Elephas maximus indicus: one gene and its partners. The protein of the gene in region 2 interacts with the protein of the main gene of each other region in a pairwise test. Links are inferred from orthologs where the notes say so. Each region holds a gene or a part of one and is shown on either strand. Other genes may lie near its edges.

What was found.
Region 1: the proteins of FAM168A (region 2) and SS18L1 interact in binary tests that used the Homo sapiens proteins (3 or more experiments, as listed by UniProt). The two-hybrid records come from large-scale screens. The link is inferred for Elephas maximus indicus from reciprocal best matches to the Homo sapiens genes FAM168A and SS18L1.
Region 3: the proteins of FAM168A (region 2) and OTUB2 interact in binary tests that used the Homo sapiens proteins (3 or more experiments, as listed by UniProt). The two-hybrid records come from large-scale screens. The link is inferred for Elephas maximus indicus from reciprocal best matches to the Homo sapiens genes FAM168A and OTUB2.

The regions. Positions count from the first base shown.
Region 1 is NC_064843.1:5,783,293-5,790,610, reverse strand, and holds the start of SS18L1 (calcium-responsive transactivator), read left to right. Parts: upstream 1-4,259; 5' UTR 4,260-4,315; coding exon 4,316-4,384; intron 4,385-4,779; exon of another isoform or gene 4,780-5,664; intron 5,665-7,318. Other genes in the region: PSMA7 (proteasome subunit alpha type-7), read right to left, coding at 24-150, 3,651-3,746. UniProt on the Homo sapiens protein: Transcriptional activator which is required for calcium-dependent dendritic growth and branching in cortical neurons. Recruits CREB-binding protein (CREBBP) to nuclear bodies.
Region 2 is NC_064825.1:48,877,656-48,885,136, reverse strand, and holds the start of FAM168A (protein FAM168A), read right to left. Parts: upstream 3,062-7,481; 5' UTR 2,739-3,061; intron 1-2,738.
Region 3 is NC_064828.1:107,601,794-107,609,230, reverse strand, and holds the start of OTUB2 (ubiquitin thioesterase OTUB2), read right to left. Parts: upstream 3,073-7,437; 5' UTR 2,882-3,072; coding exon 2,879-2,881; intron 1-2,878. UniProt on the Homo sapiens protein: Hydrolase that can remove conjugated ubiquitin from proteins in vitro and may therefore play an important regulatory role at the level of protein turnover by preventing degradation.

The DNA of each region.
Region 1 (7,318 bases), on a different chromosome or scaffold from region 2:
AAGCCCTGTCCTGAGACTGGTACCTGCAAACGCCATGCAGACATTGTCATCCAAAGCACAGATCTTCCGCACCGTTCTCTCATCCTGCAGTTTGGCCACAGATTTCTTTTCCACTCCAAGAACAACAATTTCTCTTCCTCGTACGCCAACCTTCAATAAAAATCAACAAACCGCTTAATACAGTGACTGAGGTTCTGCCACCAGGCGAAGCAGCAGCCCTCACCTCACCAGGTGTGCCAGGCACAGCCTGCCCTCCTCCATGTGCCCGCCACTACAGTCAGCAACACACCCTGCCAACCCTGGGTATCGGCTCTTTATTGGCAGAACTAGCTGAAAGTGAAGAGGACTTGAAGCCCTTACTGATGAGGAGCAGAAGGTACAGCCTTCCGGATGGATTACACTTTAACACAAAGAAGACAAAAATCCTCACAACTGGACCAGTAAGAAACATCACAATAAAGGGGGAAAAGACTGAAGTTGTCAAGGATTTTATTTTACTTGGATCCACAATCAACACCCATGGAAGCAGCAGTCAGGAAATCAAAAGACGCATTGTATTGGGCAAATCGGATGCAAAGACCTCTTCAAAGTGTTAAAAATCAAAGAGGTCACTTTGAGGACTAAGGTGCGCCTGATCCAAGTCATGGTGTTTTCAATCGCCTCATACGGATCCAAAAGCTGGACAATGAATAAGGAAGACGGAAGAAGAACTGATGCCCTTGAATTATGGTGTTGGCAAAGAATAACGAATATACCGTGGACTGCCAGGAGGCAGAACAGATCTGTCTTAGAGAAAGTACAGCCAGAGTGCTCCTCGGAAGCGAGGATGGCAAGAGTTCATTTCACTTACATTGGACATATTATCAGAAAGGACCAGCCCCTGGACAGGGACATCGTGTTTGGTAAAGTAGAGATCAGTGAGAAAGAGGATGACTCTCAATGAGATGGACTGACTCAGTGGCTGCAACAGTGAGCTCAAACAAAGCAGTGATCGCAAGGATGTCGGAGGACCGAGTAGTGTTTTGTTCTGTTGCACATGGGGTCGCTATGAGTCAGGATGGACTCGACAGCACCTAAACAGAGGTTATCCAGGTACTCTAACCTAAAATGCCCGACGCCATGCTTTTAAAATACTGAGAGTTCAATCATAACGTAACTAAATTACTATATAATTAGCATATGCGTTATTTAAATCTAATGAGTTAAACAGTTGCCCTTAATGTCGTTGGGTGCCATCAAGTCAATTCTGACTTATAGTGACCCCATGAGACAGAGTAGACTTGCCCCATAGTTTCCTAGGCTGTGATCTTTACAGGAGCAGATTGCCAGATCTCTCTCCTGTGCAACCGCTGGTGGGTTCAAGCCACTACCTCTTGGATAGCCGCTGAGCGTTTAACCATCATACCACAAGTGCTCCTTAACAGTGAAGTTAGGTATTCTGAAACGAACGTTTCTAAGTTGTGAAATTACGAACAACCCATTGTGCCTGTCCCAGCAGTGCCGTGTGCTAATGCACCTGGCTGTGTGAGGACTTGCCATTGGGGACAAAGGTGTCAGCTGTTGTTGGGAGGGTAGACAGGAGATGATGTGGCCATTGTTCCAAAGAGAGAACCTCAGTTCCGTCCCCACTGAGACAGAAGCAAACACAACGGGACAACTCTCAGAGAGATAACAGCCCTGGTTATTTCTGAGCGGAGCCTCCCAACACCCAGCACTGCTGACGCTCTGGCTAGATGACTCTGTGGGCAGCTGTGCGGGCACTGTAGGGAGATTAGCAGCACCCCTGGCCTCTACCCACTGGATGATAGTACCCCTCCACCTCCTTAAAAATTTAGATACCAAAAATGTGTCTTAAAATTGCCAAATGCCTCCGGAGGAAAAAGTGCCCCCAGTTCAGAACTACCTGACCACTCCCAGAGAAATGGACTGGTTTGCAGGAGCTAAGCCAACAGGTAAGATTTGGGGCCTTCATTTCTAAACAGCTAAAACTTCAAGAAATGAAAAGGAAACGCATAGCACCGCACGGGTTGCCTCTGCTCTGCAGCTCCAACCTCCCCAGTGCTGGGCTTGAAGTGAAAAACTGGCAGAGAATTTGCAGTGACAAACGGACGGCAGCGTCACGTGCTGTCTCTAAGCTCCCTGCACATCAAAACGGCCCTGTGTGGTGTGAGCTGAGGCCCAGCGTGGTGTAAGCTGAGGCGCGGGCTGACTCAGATTGGGTCGGGCTTCTGTGGCCTAATGGTCAGATCCAGGGACGCACCTGCCCAGGCCCTGCATTGCTGACACTGGGAGCCAGCAGCTTTTTGTTCTCCAAGCCCACCAGGTCCTTTGGAGACAACTCATTTCCCTAGTGGAGGAGACCCCCATAACTCGGAGCTGGCTGAGTATCGTTGCTCCAGCGCACCAAGGAAGCCTGCAGGAGCCAGCCCTGAGAGCCCATCTGCGCCCCTGCAGTGCGTGGGCCAGCCACACCCCCGCCGCAGTCCCGCCCAGTGCAATGGTGACCACGCCAAGATGGCCGTCACACTGCCAGCATCGCGCGGGGCTCAGGGGGGCACTCCGCTGCAATGAAAGATAAGCAACCCTCCTTAAGTTTCCACCCCCTTCCCGGAACTCCGCTGTTTGTGAAAACGCCTGTCAAAAACCGTGGGCAAACATCTGCCGATATTTCTTTCAGTTACCAACGCTGTACGTCCCCGGCCTACTCAACCTCTGAGAAATAAACAAGCCGCTCAGTCCTGGCTCGCTCTCCACCCAAACAGCAGAAAGCCACTGACACCGCAGGCCCAAGGCCTCAAATCACAAACGCGGTTCCTCCTCCGTTTTCCTTTCGAACAGCGGCGTCGTTGCTTCCGTGCGCTCCACTCCTACCACTAAAACAACCTAAAACCAAACCCACTGCTCTCGAGTCGATTCCGACTCATAGCGACTCTATAGGACAGAGTAGAACTGCCCCATTGAGTTTCCAAGGAGCACCTGGTGGACTTGAACTGCCGACCTTTTGGTTAGCAGCCGTAGCAATTAACCACTACGCCACTATGCTCAGTTAAAACAGCGAGCCCACCACACACGCCCCCGAATACAAAGAGGGATCAGCACAGCGGCTCGACCAAAGCAGGGCAGCGAAGGCAGAGCTGCCGCGCCGCGCCAAGGTTTAAGGCGCGTACCGGGGAAAGCGCCGCCGCCCGCACGAGAACGCGCCGCTTCCCGAGCCCCCAGCACCCGCCGCCGCGCCCCGGACCACCGCACCCGCCGCGCCTGCCTCCAGGACGCAGGCAGCGGGACACACGGCAGCTTCCCGAGCACCACCCTTCCGGGACCCCGGCACAGCCCGAAGCGCAGCCCTCCCCGGGAATCCTCCCTGCGCTCCCCCGTAGGCTTCCTGGGATCCCCCAGCCCCATCCCGGCGGGCTCCGGGCGCGCACGCCCCGGGAAATTCCCGGCCCACGGCTCGGCCCACTGACCCTCCCCGCGGGTTTCGGGGCGCACACCTGCCGTCGACCCCGGCCCAGGGCGCGGCCCTGCTCGTTCTCCCTTCGGGGTCCGGGGCACGCACCCTCCGCGAAAACCGCCAGGAGCCCCGGCCCCCGCGCGGCCCACTTCCGCCTCGATCCCCGGGCTCGCGCAGGCCTCGACCCGGCCGGTCTTACCGCGGTGGAGCCCTTCTTTACGGCCTCCTGTGCGTACTCCACTTGGAAGAGGTGGCCGTCGGGCGAGAAGACGGTGATAGCGCGGTCGTAGCTCATGGCCGGGCCTGGCACGGCCTGCTCCGGAGACTGCCCGCTGCGCCCCAGCAGGTAGGGGAGACCGCCCGCGCGCGTCCTCAAAAGCGCACACTCATGCGCCGCTGCGGCCGACGCACCACGCCGGGCTACGGCCTACGCTGCCGACGCATGGCTACGCCGCCGACGGAAGCCTACGACTGCGCTGCTCGGCTGACCCGCCGACGGAGGCTTACGGCGCCATCGCACGGCTACGCTGCCGACGGAGGCCTACGCTGCTGGCGTAAGGCGTGGGAGGGCGTCCGGAGCGCACCACGGCGGGCGCGGGGGAGCGCGGCGAGAGCGGCGACGGCGGGTGCGGCGCGCGGGACAGGCGGCGGAGCGCACGGCGCGGGGCGCTGAGATAGGATCGGCGGCGCGCGGGGCGGTGGACGGGCAGGCCGGGGTACGAGGCGGAGGCGGCGGCCCGGGCGAGCCCACCGCGCGGCGCCCCCCGCCCGCCCCGCCCCCACCGCTGCGGAGACAGAGCGTCCTCGGACGCCGCGCGCGGCCAGAGAATAAGCCCCATGAGCCAGGGCTGAACCTCTGCCACCATGTCCGTGGCCTTCGCGTCCGCCCGACCGAGAGGCAAAGGCGAGGTCACGCAGCAGACCATCCAGAAGGTGGGCCGCGGGCCGGGGCGGGCGCGGGGGGCGCAGGGCCGGAACAAAGCGCGGGCGCTGCCGCACCGAGGCCGCCCCCCGCGCCCCTCGCAACGCTCTCGGGTGCGACCGCCGAGGCGCGCCGCCTGCGCCAACTTTGTGGGGGGCGCGCCGGCCCGGGTGGGTGCGGGGGTGCCCGGTTCCCCAGGACGCAGCCGGTGTCCGCGGTGCTTGCCGGAGCCAGCCCGGGTCATGCCGGGGACAGGGTGCCGGGGACAGGGTGCCGCCGCCCGCGGGGCTGGGGACAGGGTGTCTCGGGGCCGGGCAGGAGCAGGGCTGATCGCGCTCGGTTGCAACCTGGGTGGCGAAGCGGCGGCGGCCACTTGCTTCTGCTCGCACGTTGGCGAGTGGAGAGGGGCCGGGTGGGCCTGGGGTGCATGGCTGGGGCGGCACGCAGCCTTTTCACAAAGGTGCTGACGCTTGGAGCCAGGAAGGGTCGGAGCAAAGTGTGGGGATCTCGTCCCCGAAGCCCCGCGCGTGAAGTCCACTTGCTCACCAGTGCGCCACCACCTCGTACTCGCATGTAACATTCTTTTTAGCGTGACACCCTGGCCTGCTTTTTCAGCTAACAGAAACTTTGTAGATTTGCCTCACAGCGTTCCTTCTCGTTTTACAAGCTTGGCACTGCAGTTTTCTAGGGATATCATTGATCTAGGCTTAGGAACGTGTTTAACAAATGCTTTTTAGACAAAAGCCTGTAGTTTTGAAAGGGAGACTTGGGATGTCTTATTGTTTCTTATTAGAAGACTCGCTCAGAAGGGAATCCGAGGCAGGCATTCCGCTTTAATCTCCACAACGTCATTTGTAGCTACATCGTTTTCTTTTCTGAACTTTTGATTCCGTTATCATTCTTCCTGCGGGTTCCCAGGAGCGTCCAATTTTCCTTCGGGGTGCACTTTGCTGACTGTGCCCTGTGTTCTTTGGTAATCTGCTGGGTCCTCGTGGAGGTGGCCCTCAGTCTGTGACTTGTCGTCGTATAAACGTTACTACATTAGCTGGCGTTAGGTGTTCAATGATTTTAACAAACAAGGAGCCTCAGCAGATTGAGAAGCAGTAGAAATGCAGATCTCAGAGTGTGGCGTTTTAATTGTGTAATAAACATTACTGTAGTGCTTATTGCGTACCAGCCAGGTTCTAACAGTTGTCCAAGTCTTTATTCGTTCTGTTCTTCCAGGTGCTTACTATCTCTTCTGCTTTATAGGTAAGGAAGCTGAGGCATAGAGAGGTTAAGTGCCTGCCTGGTAAGTTGTAGAGCTGGGAGTCGAACCCACACAGTGGAGCTCCAGGGCCCTCTCCAACCATGACACTGACCTTGGGACACTTGGCTAGGCAGAGGGCTGGGCATGTTTTGGCAGTTGAGAGGGGCTCCTGGCACCCTGGTTTTGGGGAGCTTATCTCTGATAAGCACAATCGTCATTCCATCTTTGGCTTCCTGCCCCCCAACTTCTCCAGGCAAGCATGTGTGTTAGTGCGGCCACCCCCAAACACAGTGGTCAGAAAGAGGAGAGCCTACCTTCAGACCCTCAAAAATGGGCTGGCAGCTGGCTTGACCTGTCCAGTCGGCAGTCCACATCCTCCTGCCTGTGCGTTTTGACAGTGAGTCCGTGCCCCCAGAGCTGTTTTACTGGGTTGCCTGGGGGGGTGTGACAGTCTGTGCCTTGCATTCAGAGTGTGGTGTTTGCAATGTGTGGTCGTAGGTATGCGTTGGGGGCGTTGAGGAAAACCAAGGGTGGTGGCGAAGAAGCAGGAGGTGTACGCCTTGTTCTCAGAGCGTATCTGTCGGTGGGATTCTGTTAGGCAAAGTCCTATGCCACCTTCAAGGCCCTACTCAGATGCCTTCTCTCTCTTTGGTTGGCATATGGCCAATATAGCAGTTTGACCCATAGCTTGAGCTCCTGGGCTACTTTCTGTTTGCAGTCTCCTGAGCTCCTGGGCAGGGTGAGGGCTCAGGACATACTAAGGGTGGATGACACTGGCTTTGTCAGTGGGAGTGCTTTTGTTAAGTGGGTGTGTGCGTTTTGGGGGTGTTCGAGACAAGAAACAAATGAAAAGAGGGTCTAGAAGTTTGAGGGAGTCATGGGTCGTCTCATGCAGGGACTGCGTGGAGCAGTCCAGAAAGGCAGGAAAGGCTGGCCTGCCCTGGGGACCTGGGCCCCGTGCTGAGGACATGGTGCAGGGGGAGAAGCAATCAGAAAGTGCTTGGGTGAGAACTGCTGAGCTCGGGGTGCCACTTTGGTGGGCCTTAGCAAATCCAGCAGCCCCTGCACTCAGCTGCCTGGCTGAGTGGCTGGGACCTGTCCTCTGCGCCTCCCCTGCGTCTTGGGACCAGTGTGTCCTGTTGACCAGCACTGCACTCTGGGGAGGGCAGCAGTGTGGCCAGGTGTGGGCATGTAGGAAAGGGCCCTGGGCACGAAGCTCCTCTGGCCTGCTTGGTGCTTCCCTGCTGCTCAGCACACAGTAGTTGCTCAATAAATGCAGCCATTGTTGTTACACTTTGTATGGCATTCTTGATTGTAGGCTGGGGATGAGGTCTTGTCCCTCTGCGTCCCAGCAGCACATGCAGGGCGAGATCGGTACACAGCCCCGGGAGGGGGGGGACGAGGTGGGGACCTGGGGCTGTTTGCCAGTGAGGAGCTGCAGGGGTGGCGCCGTCAGGCTGCCTGGGCCCCTTTCCTTCCCCAGTTTCTTTGTTCTTAAGACCAGAAAGGGTGATGCCCTACCCAGCATCCCAGAGCATGAGTGGGCCAGCCCTGCTCCAGTGTCCTGCGTGCGCAGGAGCAGGGGGTGGGGACGTGGGGAAGGGATGGCCAGCTGGGTGGCGGATGGGCCTCAGGTAAGGGATGGGCATCCAGGCAGAGGGTGGGTGCCCTGGTAAGGGATGGGCGTCCAGGCAGA
Region 2 (7,481 bases):
ACTGAATTACAGGTAACAGCTCAAACTTGATTTTCATTGTATTACAGAAAGCTTCCTCATAACAAAACACTTTCAATTCCAAGGGTAAGTCCAACCTTCCATCATTCTGCCCATTTAGGAACTACAACAAAAAAAAAACAGATTCTGAATATTGGATATCTTTGTGTGATCAACTGTGAAAGCCATGGAAATAATCTGTTTGCTAGCTAAAATCTGAAGCTTGAACAAAGACAAAATTATTTTGATCCTATTGGTGCCAATTTTATCCTCTTTACACCTCTCCCCGTTTTTTCTCAGCCCAACTCTAATCAACAGCCACTTCAGGCTTAACATATCACAGTTAATGCAATTAAGTCCAAAAAACTATTTCCCTAAAGATGTTTCCTCCATTCACACCCCTCTCTACCTTCCATCTTCACCATTCTGCCAAGAGAATAAACATATCGCTAAGCTTTAAAACAAATTTCTGATGAATAGATAATGTTTCTGTGGTTAATGCAATGTGCCCATATCAACACCATCCCCTAAAACGTAAGATAAAAATGACTCGACACGCTTATTTATCTACATCTGACAGGTTTCTAATCACCTAAAATCCTTTAGGAGAAAATCCAATCTACAGAAATACAGTCCAGTTATTTTTAATCTTATCAAGTAACATCAAAAGAGAATCAAATGAAAAACTCCATCAGTACCAAACCATCCCACCAATGAATATTTATGACATTTCCATACTTCCTGTCTTCTCTCTGTTTACATAAAGCAGTGGTGCCAAGACTCATCTCAAGATTATTAGCCTGCAATACAATGATGGGCCTAATTGCCTTGCAAACCAGGACACCAATAAATGGAGTCTTCAAGCAATCAATTTCAAGGGGTGGGGGGTGGGGGGGGAAGGCCCAAGCTCTTTCTGCATACTTGCACAGACATTGCCTGCCTAGGAAATAAATCTGGCCTCATATTTTTCAGTCTCATTCATCAGTTCTCAAGCAAAGAACACTCCCTTAACGATCTCAATCTCATCAAACCTATTTAAATTCCAAACTCCAGGACTAGTTTTTAAGTGCACCAGGGAAAGGCAAAGGCGGAGACATCATACAGAAAGATATCTACCACATTCCATTTTTATCTTCTCCCATCTTCAGTTTGGGCGTGGATTTTCCCAACTTTCTTTTTATGATATATAAATAACAGAAAGAAGATGCCTTCCCTTCCTTAATTCTACCCTAACTGAAATCTTTATTAACTTTACTGGCCTCTGGGTTGACTTCACTTCTAAGTGTGATACTGATGTAAACAAAACAAACAAAAAAATCAAACAGCTTAAGACATCCTCTAGGAAAGATAGTCTTTAAAATACCTTTTCTGTCCCCTGCCAAGTCCCCTCTTAACAACCCTCTGATTACTGTCCCTCCTCCAGTCACAGCCACAAGAGCTATCCATTTAAGTGTTCCAACCCCTAACCCTCTTGTGTCTCTTGGAGGCCACCTCAATCCCTCCCCCTCCAGAATCACCCAACCCACCTCATCCCAGCACTGCTCACTGCGTCCTCCATCCCTACAACTCCTGGTCTCCCACCCCCTAAATCTGATGGACACTCCTTAAATTTCCCCTCTGCCACTTCACTATCATTAGCCACCTCTCCGGTCTTACCAGCTTGTCTCAGACATTCCTTCTTCAAAACTCCCTCTGACACCTTGACCAAAGGATGTCTTCTTCAACATACCATCCCCCAACCCTGTTCACCACCTGCCACTATTCTTTCAGTGAGTCCAGCCCAGCAGCTTCTTCTGTGCCCTCTGCCTCAACCCTGCACCTAGGGAGCCATCATGCCTCTGCCAGCGATTCTAAAATCACCCTAAATTCCATTCTACTGTGCTCCCCCCTCTCAGTTTCAATCCTTGTCAGCCCACTTCGGGCCTAACTCCAACTCCCCCCCTCCTCCCTGCCCCCCCCCCCCGCGAGCTCACCATCATACTCCCCTCATTGGAAGTCCCACCCCCTATTTCACCCTCATCAGCCCATCCCGGGAAAACCCCAAATTCCACCCCCTCTGCTCTATCCCAACCTCTGCTATTCCATAAGAAAAAAAAAAAGGCTCCATAAATTCCACATACCCCAGATAACAAACACCCACTTAAGGCTTAGGTCCCAATCCATGCCAAACCCCTCATCCCCAGCTCCTACCATCTCCATCAGCCTGCCCCGGGTCCATCCCAAATTCCACCCTCCGGAATCAACACCCCCCCACCAGGGTCCTATCCCAACCCTGTACATCCCACTCTCCATTGAAAGCATCCCCCTATCTCCTACCCCAGCTCAGATCCCAAGCTGTCAACTGTTCCAGGCCAACCCCAAATCCACCACCCTCATTCAGTCCCCTCCCCCATTAAAAGCCAACCCACTCCAGTCTTATCTTCCATCTCGCCCCCGAGACCATCCCAAATTCCACCTTGACCCCCCACTCCACACTCCTGTCCTAGTTCTGGTCATTCCCCATTAAAAGTCTCCCTTCCCTTGTCGCCCCCCAACCTGCTTGGGTCCCACCCTCACCCCACCCCCAGCCCGCGCCTGGGCAAGTCTCCCCCTCCAGCCTGCCGTTCCACAGCGACCTTAGCTCCCTCCCCCAAACCCACCCAGGGGCTCCGCAGCCCCCACTCTCATTATCCCCAGTAACACACCAGCCCAGACTCAGGACAAGCGGACCAGGTGGGGGGGGGAGTGGAGGATTTCCTCACCGGCGAGAGACTGCAAGCGAAAACGGCGGCTGCTGAAGCGGCGATACCCTTGTCTTCTCTGGCGGCTGCAGCGGTGACGCTCTCACTCCCTCGCCCGTCTGTGGGGTGGCCGATGGCGCGCAGGGACTGGGAGCCTCCTCCTCTTCAGCAACTCGGCTCTGAATCCTCTGCAGTAGCGGCGGAGGAGACCGACGGGTTGGGGGAGGGGACGCTCGGATGCAGGCGAAAGAGGAGGGGGCGGAGGACCGCTGAGAAGGGTGGGGAAGGAGGAGCCGGCGCGGCGCCACGACACGTCCCACCGCCTCAGTGTGCCAGGACCACAACTCCCGGCATGCCCTGCTTCACCTGCACCTACCCCCGCGCACGAAGTGAGGAGGCACTGTGTTTTCCCGGTCCGGAACAATGGAATAAAGTCAACCATCCGCGTGTGGCTATTGTAGACTCAAAGACCACATGTGAGGGAAGTCAGGGTGTCCGCAGCCCCATCGCCAAGTGGCGAGGCTCCTGGCGTCTCCACACGCCTCCCAACACACACACACACACACAAAAAAGCCTCTCGCCGGACTACATTTCCCAGCGTTCTCACGCCCTCCGGCCCGCTTTCCGTACCAGTCTCAGACCCTGTACAACTACAGTTCCCGAGGAGTGTGGTCACTGCGAAATGCTGGGAGATGCAGTTCTTAGTTCTTCCTCCATGTTAAGAGCAAGAAGTGAAAGAGGAAAAAGGGAAGGACCGTGCCAACCCACCGAGGACAGGTCTAAGTGGGCTAAATCACCTGTGAGTCTGTACTTGCCATCTCTGTTTCCACTGTCTCACAGCAGAACAAATGCAGCAGCTTCCTCACTGATCTCCCTGCAAATCTGACGACGGTTTGGCAATTTGAATACAAAAGTAAAAAGGGCATACTTCTTGACCCAGTTCCATTACATCTAAGAATTTACCTTAAAATTGTCATCGAGCCACTAAATTGTACATTTAAAAAATGGTTAAAATGGTAAATGTTAAGTATATTGTACCACAAAAAAAAATTGAAACAATTTGGAAAAGATGAATGCACAAAATTGTTCTATGAGGTTGTGGATTATAGAGGGGAGGAAGGTAAATGTCCATCAACAGGGAGCTGGTTAAATAAATTATGATATATACCTACAAGGCAGTACTAAGTAGCCATTAAAAATGATAATATCTGTTTATTGGCATGAAAGGTTATCCACAATTTATCCTTGAGGAAAAAATTGATTACAGAGTAGCATGTTTCGGATGGTCCAATTTATGTGAAGTCTAAAACAATATTCTATAAGCACAGAGAGATTTTACTGGAGGCTCCCTTTGTTGGAGGAAAGGGTATCAGATTTCAAGTAATTCTTATTTTCATGTTGTCTGATTTGTTTAAAAGGAGCACATACCATATTTTTGAAACCTTAAGACTGTATTCAGTTTCCAAATCCAACAACCTCTATGCTGCCTGAAAGCTTTGCATGGCTCCCCATTGCTGTCAGTAGTGCTCCAGGACTATTGCCTTTTTTTTTTTTTTTTTTTTTTCTTTTCTTTTCTCTCTCTCTGTGAGCTCCGCAGTTCATGATTAAAGCCAGTAGTGTTGGCCACTTACAATTCACAAAAGAACGTTAAATTAGTAGGAAGAATTTTCTCACTTTTCAATGCCTCTTGTCAAAATTTTCCTCCTTTTGGCACCTGTGTGTCCATCTACCCTAGAATACCGTATCAGATGATCTAATTTAGCACAAATTGTATATTTACAGTATTTTTTATTGTATATGTCATTCTTTGGTGTTCTGCAAGGAACACAAGGCCATTCAAGCTGCACCACTGAGCCCACTGGAGAATCGCAGGCCTGTAGGAGGAAGTCCAGGATATCTAGCTCAGAAGATAGCTTAGTCCAAAATCCTACTGCAACCTATTCCTCCAGCTTCACCCGATAGTCAGTTCCTTTTCTGAGAATAGTGAGAAAAGTACTTATGACATGATGGCTATGTGACACGCAAGTCCCTTTCCCTCTCCAAGTATTGCATTGATGGTCCCCTCTTCTAAACCCTGTTTTCACTTCTTTTCCCCACTTCACCCAGTTGGCAGAAAGTGGAAGGCTGCATGGTCAAATTTAGAAGGGTTCTGGTCTTTCCAGGAGTAAAGCATTATCTGAGTTAGATATGAAGAAGCTGAATGAACTGGGAGGAGCCCTAGTGGCACAAATGCTTAACCATTCAGCTGCTAGCCAAAAGTTGGTGGTTCGAACCCACACAGCACCTCTGCAGAAGAAAGAGCTAGCAATCTATTTCTGCAGAGATTACAGCCCAGAAAACCTTACAACTCTACTATTGCATGGGGTTGCTATGAGTTGGAATTGACTCAATGACACCCAACAACAGCTATAGTGGACTAGGAATCTTGGTAAACAAATAATTTATAAGGATCAGCACAAAGCTGGTTCCTATGAGTTGGAGGTTAAAGATGTCCCAAATGTCTAACTTTTCCAAGCTGCTGTATTACTCCATTATTTCTAACATTGAACTACTCCCTCTTGGGTCAGCAATCTCACTCTGTCTTTGGGTTCCCTGATTTCTTGCAACATCTGACAGAACTCACAGACCGTATAGAGGAAATGGCTCACAAGATTTTGGAGGCTGCCAAATCCCAAATTCGTAGGTTAGGCATAGACTTTCCCCTGGCCTTCAGTCTCTGCTCAGAGGCACTCAGCTTTCTTGCCCTGTGAGCCAGGATGTCCACTGTGCCATCTCCTGCGGGTCCCTCTTTCTTCAGTGGTGGTGGGCTCTCCTCTTTGTTCTAGAATTTGGTCTCTTTTAAGGCAGAACTGACCAATCACCTCGTTAGGCCACAATTACCCTATCACACAATCACCTGGGTGGGAGTTACAAGACCATGGCTATTAAGGCCACACACAAAAGTAATTAATTTACCACAGGCTACCCCCTGGCTTTTCTAGTCATGATTCTTTCATATTTGGAGGATAACTTCTCCCTCCCAATCATTTTACCTCTCCAAAACAGTCATTAACAATTAGTCCTTCAACAGGGCAAAGAGTCCAAAGTGTAAGTTTACTCAGGTACCAGCCATCAAGGTCTGCTGCAGGTTTTCATCTGTTCTGGTCAGGTGCTCCAAAAGTCATCTAGTCTTCACACATTCTGGTCTCTGATAAAATTCAACTGAGAGAAGATTATTTATTCCCTTGCTCTGAGTCTCTCTCAAGATATCAGTATAGTGTTAGGTTTCCCCTGCTGCATAACCCATTTATTCATTCCTTTACCTTCAGCTATTATTTCTCCTTCCTTCTATTTGTCATTTATTTTTACCCAAACTTTTCCACCTTGGGAAGGAACAGTAGGTTCAGCTGCTGTGCTAGTCCAGACTGCAGGTAGCAAGACCAATCTAGCAAGTGCTTCTCCCTCAGTCCACTCCCGTTTATGTTGGATAAGGTTACATAGGTACAACACTAGTGGACTATCTTGCCCACGAGGCAATACAGCAATATTCACTGTCAACCCCAATTTTGCCAGATGGGGGGAAAGTATAATCCATCCCTTCAGACCCTTGGGAATTCTGACATACATGTTTAGGAATATAGTTACAGTCTCTTGCTTAAGGATCACCCCTGCTTTTGGCACCCACAGCTGCATCCCTGGTCCTGGAACCACAACATTCGGCAGGCAAAAAAGAAGAACTGTACAGTGGCACCAGCATCCTCTCCCACCCTGTCTTCCCCAAATCCCCCAGAGAAGCTTAGGAGTCTGTCCTGTGGTGATTCTCCCTTTGTCCCCCTCATGCTGAGTATGATGACACACTCATGAAGGCATGTGACCCAGCCCTTCATGCCTTTGGATAACAAATGTTTCCATTGGCCATTCCAGTTCTCTATCAAACCATTACTGTGAGAGTGGTATGCAACATGGTGTGTCCATTTAATATGATGTTTCTTGGCCCGTTACTCCACCCTGTGGGCTGTAAAGTGTGTTCCTTGGTCTGAAGAAATACAACTTGGTGGCCCAAATTGGTACAGTATCTTTCGCTCCAATCCCTTAATGGTATTTTTGGCATTTGCATCTGTCGCGGGATATCCAAAGCCCAGTCCAGAGTAAGTATTCCTGTGGGAACCCATTTGTAGCAACTTCGTGCCACTGGCATCATTGGTCGAATATAGTCAACTTGCCAGCTATGTGCAGGGCCTTCTCCTCGGGGAATCTGCCCTATAGCCATCTGGAACCTCTGTCTTCCTTGCTGGCAGACAGAGCAGTCCTTATTTTAGCATTTTGTGCTTCAGAGGGTGCAAGGGGAATGTGTCTAGATTCGGCCCATCTTGCATTCCTGCAGTACCCCTATGTCTGCTCATTTCATGGGCCCAATTGGCCACTTCAAGTGAGAATACCAACTTGCTGATTCCACCTGCTGATTCCAGTCACCTTCTGATCCAGGAAGGGGGTTTTTGTGATGGACATTGACATAGCCTACTCTGATGTGCCCTCTACATTCCCAGAGTGCTTTCTGTAGGCTCATGCCCCGCACAGGTGTCCCCTTAATAGTCCAATATTCCATAGCCCATTTGCCTGACCATATAGCTAGGCCATTGGCCACTGCCCACGAAATCGGTAAAAATCCAAATATATGTGCTCTCACCATTGCAGAATTCTTCCATCACTGCTAGGAAGACAACATGCAGTTTGGCCCATTGAGCTGACCTGTTCTTACCTTGTTCAATCAGACTCTTTCCATCT
Region 3 (7,437 bases), on a different chromosome or scaffold from region 2:
AGAGGCCTTCCCTGACCATCCTGGGCCTAAGTTGTCCCTCCCCATCCCTATCACCTTACCCTGTTTTATTTCTTCAGAGCATTATCTGGACCATGGGTTCACTTGCCCACCTGCATACTGTCTGTCTCCCTCCACTAGATGTCAATCCATGAGGCCAGGGGCTTTGCTGTATCTGTCTGTTGTGGCCAGATCCCTGGTGCCTGGCACACAGTGAGGCTCCAAAAACGTATACCAAGAGAATGAGTGAACAAATGGGTGAGCTGGTCTCTGACTCCCGCCTGGCCACCTCCAACCCCACGTCCATTGCCAGAGAGGTCTTCCAAGTCAACCGTCTCTTACTTATCAAACATCTCTAATGATTCTCCTTATCTTCAGAATAAAACCCAAACTCCACAGTGTGGCACATTCTGACCCCACCTAATATTTTTCTAGATTCCTCTTCCCTCCCTCCCTGCATCCACACAGGCTGCTGGCCTTTCCCAGAATATCCCACTCTTGACCATGTTTCCAGGTCTTTAAGCATACTGTCCGGAGCTGGGGTGCAGTCTTCCCCAAATCCATCTTACACACTCCTATACATCCTTCAATGCCCAGCTCAAAAGTCCTCCTCATGAAGCCTTCTCCAACACTTCCTACTGGCTTCCTGCTGCGCTCCCAAAGCCCTTGGTCAGGCCTCTTCGTTCATGATCAATAGTCAGGGGCTGCTGTGTGTCTGTCCAGACAACGAGGTCCTAGAGAGGGCAGGGCCCCAGCCTTTGAGGGTGCCTACAAGGGGCTTGTCTGAGACATGAAAGGAGGACCTGTGGTTTGGCTGTCCATGCCTGATACTCACTTATTCATTCAACAAGCATTACCTGCACCCTGCGCAAGGACAAGACCCCTCACTGTCTACAGCCCCTGCCAGTGACAGCCCCAGGCCTGGCCCTCACTCACCCTTCTTCTGCCCTCCCAAGGGGCTTTGTGTCTTCTGACTGGCACCTTGCCTCAAGCTTAGCCAAGGGACTTTGAAGTGGGAAAGGAAAGAAGATGCTATATTTTCCAAAGACATTTTGTTAAACTCCTCTGCCCATCACACACGCACACTCCATCCCATCCATACCACGTGGACTCATACACAAAAGACCGCCACACAGCCCCAGCATGGTGCCTGGTACACAGCAGATGCTCAATAAATGCTTCGTGGGTAGACACAAACAGGCCAACACAGCCTCCACCCCACGTGATCCGAGACTGCTGTGCTGTTGAACGGGTAGCCACTTTATCCACCTCCGAGGAGCCCAAGCCTCCACTGATGGGGCGGCGGGGGGAGCTGGATTAGGTGTCCCTGCTGTGCCTTTGACCCCACCTGCCCTCTGACTTCCAGTCTCCTGAGTTAGGCCAGGTGGGCAGAGTGGTGTCAGAGGCCTTGCTGTGCAGCACACAAGGCAGAAGGTGGGGTCCCAGCTCCTATTGTCCCTGTCACGCTCTCATGAGAGTTCCTCGGTGGCAGCCAGCCTTCAGATCCTGGGTGGCCAAACCCATCATTAGTCCACTTCCCAGCACTTCCTGTGGATGAGGTGAAAACACCTGGGTCCCCTTCCAGGAGCAGCAGAGCCAGGTGACCCCTTTGGCACAGTATGGAAGTAGGAAGCTGGTACCTCCCCAGTGGCAGGCTGGTTTGTCCAGGGCAGCCACCTGTCCACGCCACAACCAGAACATGGCAAGTCATGACCAGGCTGTGACCCAGGTGCCTGTGAACACTCATTTCCAGGACTTTGTTGGCACAGGAAACCCACCAAACCACTGCGACCCTATAGGACAGAGTAGAACTGCCCTGTGAAAAGCCGAATGTAGCTAATTACCTGGGGCCAAGCGTGCCACACACATCATGTGGTCCTCCAGCGGCCCATTATCCAGATGGTCCAAACAGCACTGGGCAGGGAGATGGCTGACCAAAGCCTCTCAGTTACTAAGGGGTGGAGGCGAGCTTTGAACCTCAGGCTGTGTGACCCCAGTCCAGGCTGTCTGCCCTTGTACTGTATAGGTTCCCTGGAGCAGAGGGGCTCAGGGTTGGAGGGTTTTAGGGACCAACTTATCCAGTCCCCTGCAACCTGGCAAGTGGCCTGATGTAACACAGAGAACACTGGACTGGGAGTCCAGAGGCTTGGGTTTAGTTCTAGGTCCATCGCAGTCAGTGCTAGCCCATTCCCCACCTGGGCCTCAGTTTTCCCACTTTTCCACTTTTGGGCCTGGCTCAGAGGGTCTCTGGGGTCCTTTGTGCTCCAACGGGATCTGAGTCTAGTCTTTGCTTCACCTGGAACCCTAACTCAGTGTCTCAAAACTTGAGGCAGCCTCTCCACGTGGGCCCCAACCCCCAGCGAATGTGCAGCCGCTCAGGGAACAGGCAAGCCGGCCACCAGTGCAAGCCCTAGGTCCACCCTCGGGGGGGCGGGCCTGGGAGGGGTTCTGGCGGCTGAGCCATGGGGTGTGTGGGGTCGTGGGCTGTCGGATGGGGGACTACATACAGAAGAGGAGGCGATCCCTAGCCCTGGAGTCCCCTGCCCCCGCTCCGCCGAGGCGCCTACCTTGTGCTATGAGAACGACACCTTCGGGGTCACCCGGGACGGACCCGCTGAGGGTGGGGGTCCTCGGGGCCGGGCTGGCTCCCCTTCACTGGGCCTCCGCAGTGGACAACGGGGCGCGTCCGAGGAAGGACGGGGTCCCCCGGCATCCGCCTGGACTCTGTACCCCCGGGGGTCCGAACGTCGCGAGGACGACGTGGGGGCTGAGCCTCGCGCTGGTACCCAGTCCCGCAAGTGCACATGCGCCCGGGTGGCGACCCCGCCCCCCGAGCCCCCTCCCCAACCCCCCTTCCCCCTTTTCCCCCAAGACCACTGACCATAGTGACAGGAGCCAGGTCCCGCCCCAGCGAGGAGCGATCCGGTGCGGGAGGGCGCGGCGGAGGCACTAGCCAGCTCCACGGTTGGGTCGGGCGACAGGGCCTGGAGCGCGAGGGGGGGTGTGCGGAGAATACACCCGACCGCCCCGCAAACCAGAGGGTAGACCTCCACTGTGTCCCAGCAAGACACACGCCCCGCGATTGACGTCTGAAGCGGGCAATCAGAAACCGGGGCTCAGGACGTCACAGAAAGTGGGTGGGACTTCACGTTTCTTCAGCCTATGCTTTATGGCTCATTTGACAGGATCCCTCCCCCTTTTAAACACACAGAAAGCTTTTAACTAGCAAAGGAGTTCGCCCAACCTAGAAAGACAGGTCTTCGGTTGTAAAGGCTGAAGGACTTTTGACAAAAACTGCGAAGTGAGGTCTTCTGAAAGATGAGCTGGCCCTCATAAATTCATAAACAATGTCACATAAGTATAGTTTGCTCAAGATCAGAGGACAAGGCACGAGGAAACACGTGTCCAATAACATTAAGTTAACCACCTGTCCCTGTGTAGCTTCTAAATAATAGCTCCCCTTCTTCCAGCTCATGAATTAGTAGGTTTCCAGGCATCCAATTACAACTTGTTGAATGAATGAATTTCCCGGCTGGTTGACTTTGTGGTTCTGGTATTGTATGGATGTATATGGGGCACAGGCGGTGAACCGGGTCTGGGTGACTCAGGCTGCGGACAAGCTCATTACTACCAGACTCCAAACGTGTTTATCATCCAAAGATGCGTTCACCAACCCCTGGCCTCTGGAGGGGTCTGCTTCGTGTGGAGGCTCCAGCGCGTGGTGTACACCCGTTTTACGAGCATGAATACTCCCTTGAGTGTTCACCGAGTCGTCCACTTCCACACGCCCTACTCCCAGCCCCAGGCACCAGAGTAGGTTCTTAGGTAGACAAACACCTGTGGCTTCAAGTGTTTGTCATTTACTTGGGGGAGGGGAGGAAAGGAGGCCAACCGAGGCTCAAGAAACAATAATGATAACCGCAGCAGTGGACTCATACCTACCACGGACCAAACAATAGCCAACTTTTATTGAGCACTTACTACGTGTCAGGGAGCGCCCTAAGTGTTAAACCGTGTATTATCCTACTTCATTCTCACAGCTAGTTTCTGGGGGTTGTTGTCGTTAGTTGCTGTTGAGTTGATTCCGACTCACGGCAACTCCATGTGTCCAAAGCGGAACCGCTGCATGGGGTTTTCAAGGCTGTGGCCTTTCGGAAGCAGATCGCCAGGCCTTTCTTCTGAGGTGCCTCTGGGTAACTTCGAATTGTTGTCGAGCACTTAACCATTTGTACTTCCACGGTAAGTCTATTATTATCTCTGTTTTACAGATGAGGAAACTGAGGCACAGACAGATTAAGCTCCTTGCCCAAGATCACATAGCATCCAGGTGGGATTCAATCCCAGGCAGCCTGACTCCAGAGCTGGTTTTGAATGTGCTCTGCCAAGGAACCGTGCACAGGACTGTAGGGGCTGTCTACTCCCATGCCCTTGCTTGTTTTGGAGGGTCTCTGCTTTGTTTTTTGCGGCAGAGGAAGCCAAGGCTCAGAGAAGTGACAGGACCGACCCAGCATGTCTCAGCTGGGAAGTGGCCCGGCTGGGTTGTGTCCTGGGACTTCTGATGCCTTGTCCAGTGCTTCCTCCAGACTTGTTTGGGTTCTGTGGGGCTGTCTGGTGGGGGAGTGACTGAGCCAGGTGTGGCCCTTCGGGGTTCATGTGGGGTGCAGGTGAGGAGCCTTGGCTGTGGAGGCCTTTGTCTGGGGTCTGGCCCCTGAGGCCTTTGAGGTCTCTGGGAGGAGGAGGCCGAGTGAGCTGAGGCTTCCAGGCCCCTTGGCGCTGGGCCACACTAAGCCCTGAGACCTCAGCCCCCTGTCCTTCCCAGCGCAGGCCAAGGCAGCTCCAAACCTGCTGTCATTGCTTTGTGGAAGGAACACTGGACTGGAGTCCCCAAGTGGCCTTGGGCTCTGATGGTCCCTGCTGTGTGGCCCCAGGCAACTGCAGGCCTTCTCTGGGCCTCTGGTTCCTCACTCAGTGAGAAGGCTGGACAATCTGGGCAGTTAAAAATTTTTAGCAGCAAAGTCTTTAAAAACAAAAACACAGTCTTATCTAGAATCTCTGTAAATGTGCTCAGTCATTTGAGTTTCAGCAAAGCTCGAATAAAAAAGCTGCCGTCGTTCTGACTCATAGCTACCCTACAGGACAGAATATAACTGCCCCATGGGGTTTCCAAGGAGTGGCTGGTGGATTCGAACTGCCAACCTTTTGGTTAACAGCCGAGCTCTTAACCACTCTGCCAGGGGAAAATGTACTTTATGTAGTCTGTAACAAATCTGGCTTCTTCCTGGCTCTCTAGTTAGGAGAGGACCAGGTCTCCTACGTTGTAAATCGCTTCACTTCCTTGCAGAGTGCCTGCCCCACTGAATATCCACCTGAGTCCTCCAGACTGTCCTTACCCCTTCACATTAGAGCCTAGAACCTTGGTCTGGAAAACTTGTTCCCATACCAGTTAGTGTACTTTGTCACTGCTGGCCAAGGTCAGAAAGGATAAGAGTTAGAGTTAGCCCCCCTTGGAGTCCTGGGTGGCACAGGAGACCAGATCGTCATGCAGGTCAGAGATGAGAGTGGCTGGACTAGGGAGAACTGTGGAGATGGGGAGAAGTGAATGCTTTCCAGGAGCAGGAGGTGACATGGTCAGGACTTGCTGGTGGGCTGGGTGTGGGGTGGCAGGACAGAGAGGGCCTAGGGTGATGGTGAAGTTCCTGCCTGCTCAGCTGGGTGGGTAGGAGAGCCGGATCCCAGACAGTGGGGCCTCGACTAAGTAGACTGAGCAGTGCCAAGAGCCTGTATGAGCCCACCAACAACTGTCCCCCCAAGACTTGAAAATTGGAAGTGTTTAGGGTTTTGTGGTCCCTAGAAATTCTCTGGAACCCTGGAGAACAAAGCGCAGAAGAGCATGGCCTTGGAGCGTGGCCTTGGAGTGGTCGGTAAGAGTTTCCTGAAACTTGAACCCGTGTTTACAGATGATGAAAAATGGCAAGGGGGGGTATAAGTGCTGGGCGCTGGGTGTCTCCTTCAAGGTCCCAGGGGTCCACGGAGCTCTGCCAGGCAGAACCTGTAGTGCAGTGTAAACATGGAGCAGCTTCCGGGGCTATCTATTTTACTCAAGGAAACATGATTTTGGCACTAGAGCAAAGTCTTACAAAATAGAATGCAAATTTGCTTACGTAAAACTTTCAAATGAAACACAAAGTTATTCTGAGTTCCTTGTCAAGCCTGCATACCAGCTCCTAAAGTTCTGAATTCACTCTCCTCTGCCATTAGAGGTATTTGCAGGGTAAGTTCTAGAAGCTTTGATGAGGAAAAGAGCCCCAGCCTCAAGGTCAGCCAGACTTGGGCTCTGCCACCTGTTTGCTCTGTAACCTTGAGCAAGTTACCCCACCTTTCTGAGCCAGGGCATCAATTTTGTCTGTATTTAAAAAAGCTGCCTGTCCTATAGGGTTGCTATGAGTCAGAATCGACGCGAGGGCACTGGGATTTTTTGGGTTTGGGCCTCTCCCAGGAGGACCTCAGGCCGTTGTTCTCTCTGATTGGGTTTTTAATTTTCTCACAATTCTCACTTTTTACTCCTTGCTGAAGGAGGATGAAGATTTGTTCATCTTCTAGATGGCAGCATTTTGCCTAGAATAATTTCTTGTGGGAGACTACAGGAAGTGGAAAAATGAGAATCAATCATTGCAGGAATAAAGGGGGAGCCCCCATCCTGCCGCATCCTGTGAAAGATGTGATAGCAATGTGTCAATGCGTAAATGTCTTTGATCAACTTTTTGAAATATTTTTAAGTGATGTGCTACAACACTTGGTGCAAAAGGCAAAAAAAATGAGAGCCCCCTGAACCTCCTCAGTCAATGCTATGAATATTACCAGGTCTTATTTTCAGCCAGTTCTTCCCAGAACCACCCGCCAGATTTGGTGATAATCTATGTGGCCATTTGTGAATAAACCAGTAACAAACAAAAACTTAATGCATGCATTTATAAAAATAGGGACTTTGTCCTGTTTTTCTGTTCCCTTCGCATCGCACTCATCCCAACTCCACCTGTGAAAGGCTTGTGAACACCTACATTCATCGCAGCATTACTCACAGTCAACAAAAGGAGAAAACAACCCAAGTGTCCATCAACAGATGAATGGATAAACAAAATGTAGAAGATCCATACAATGGACGATTATTCACCCATAAAGAGAAATGAAGATCTGATACATGCTACAACGTGCACGAACCTTGAAACATTAGCTAAGTGAAACAAGTCAGACACAAAAGGAAGAATATTGATGATCCCACATATATTGAAATATCTAGAATAGACAAAGGCAGAGACTAAAGCTTCTTAGTGGTTAACGGGGTGGGGGGATGGGGAGGCACGTTTCCGAGGTACTGAGCTGCTGTTAAGGGTGATGGTGAAATTTGGAGATGGGTAATGGCGATGGTTGAACAACATGATA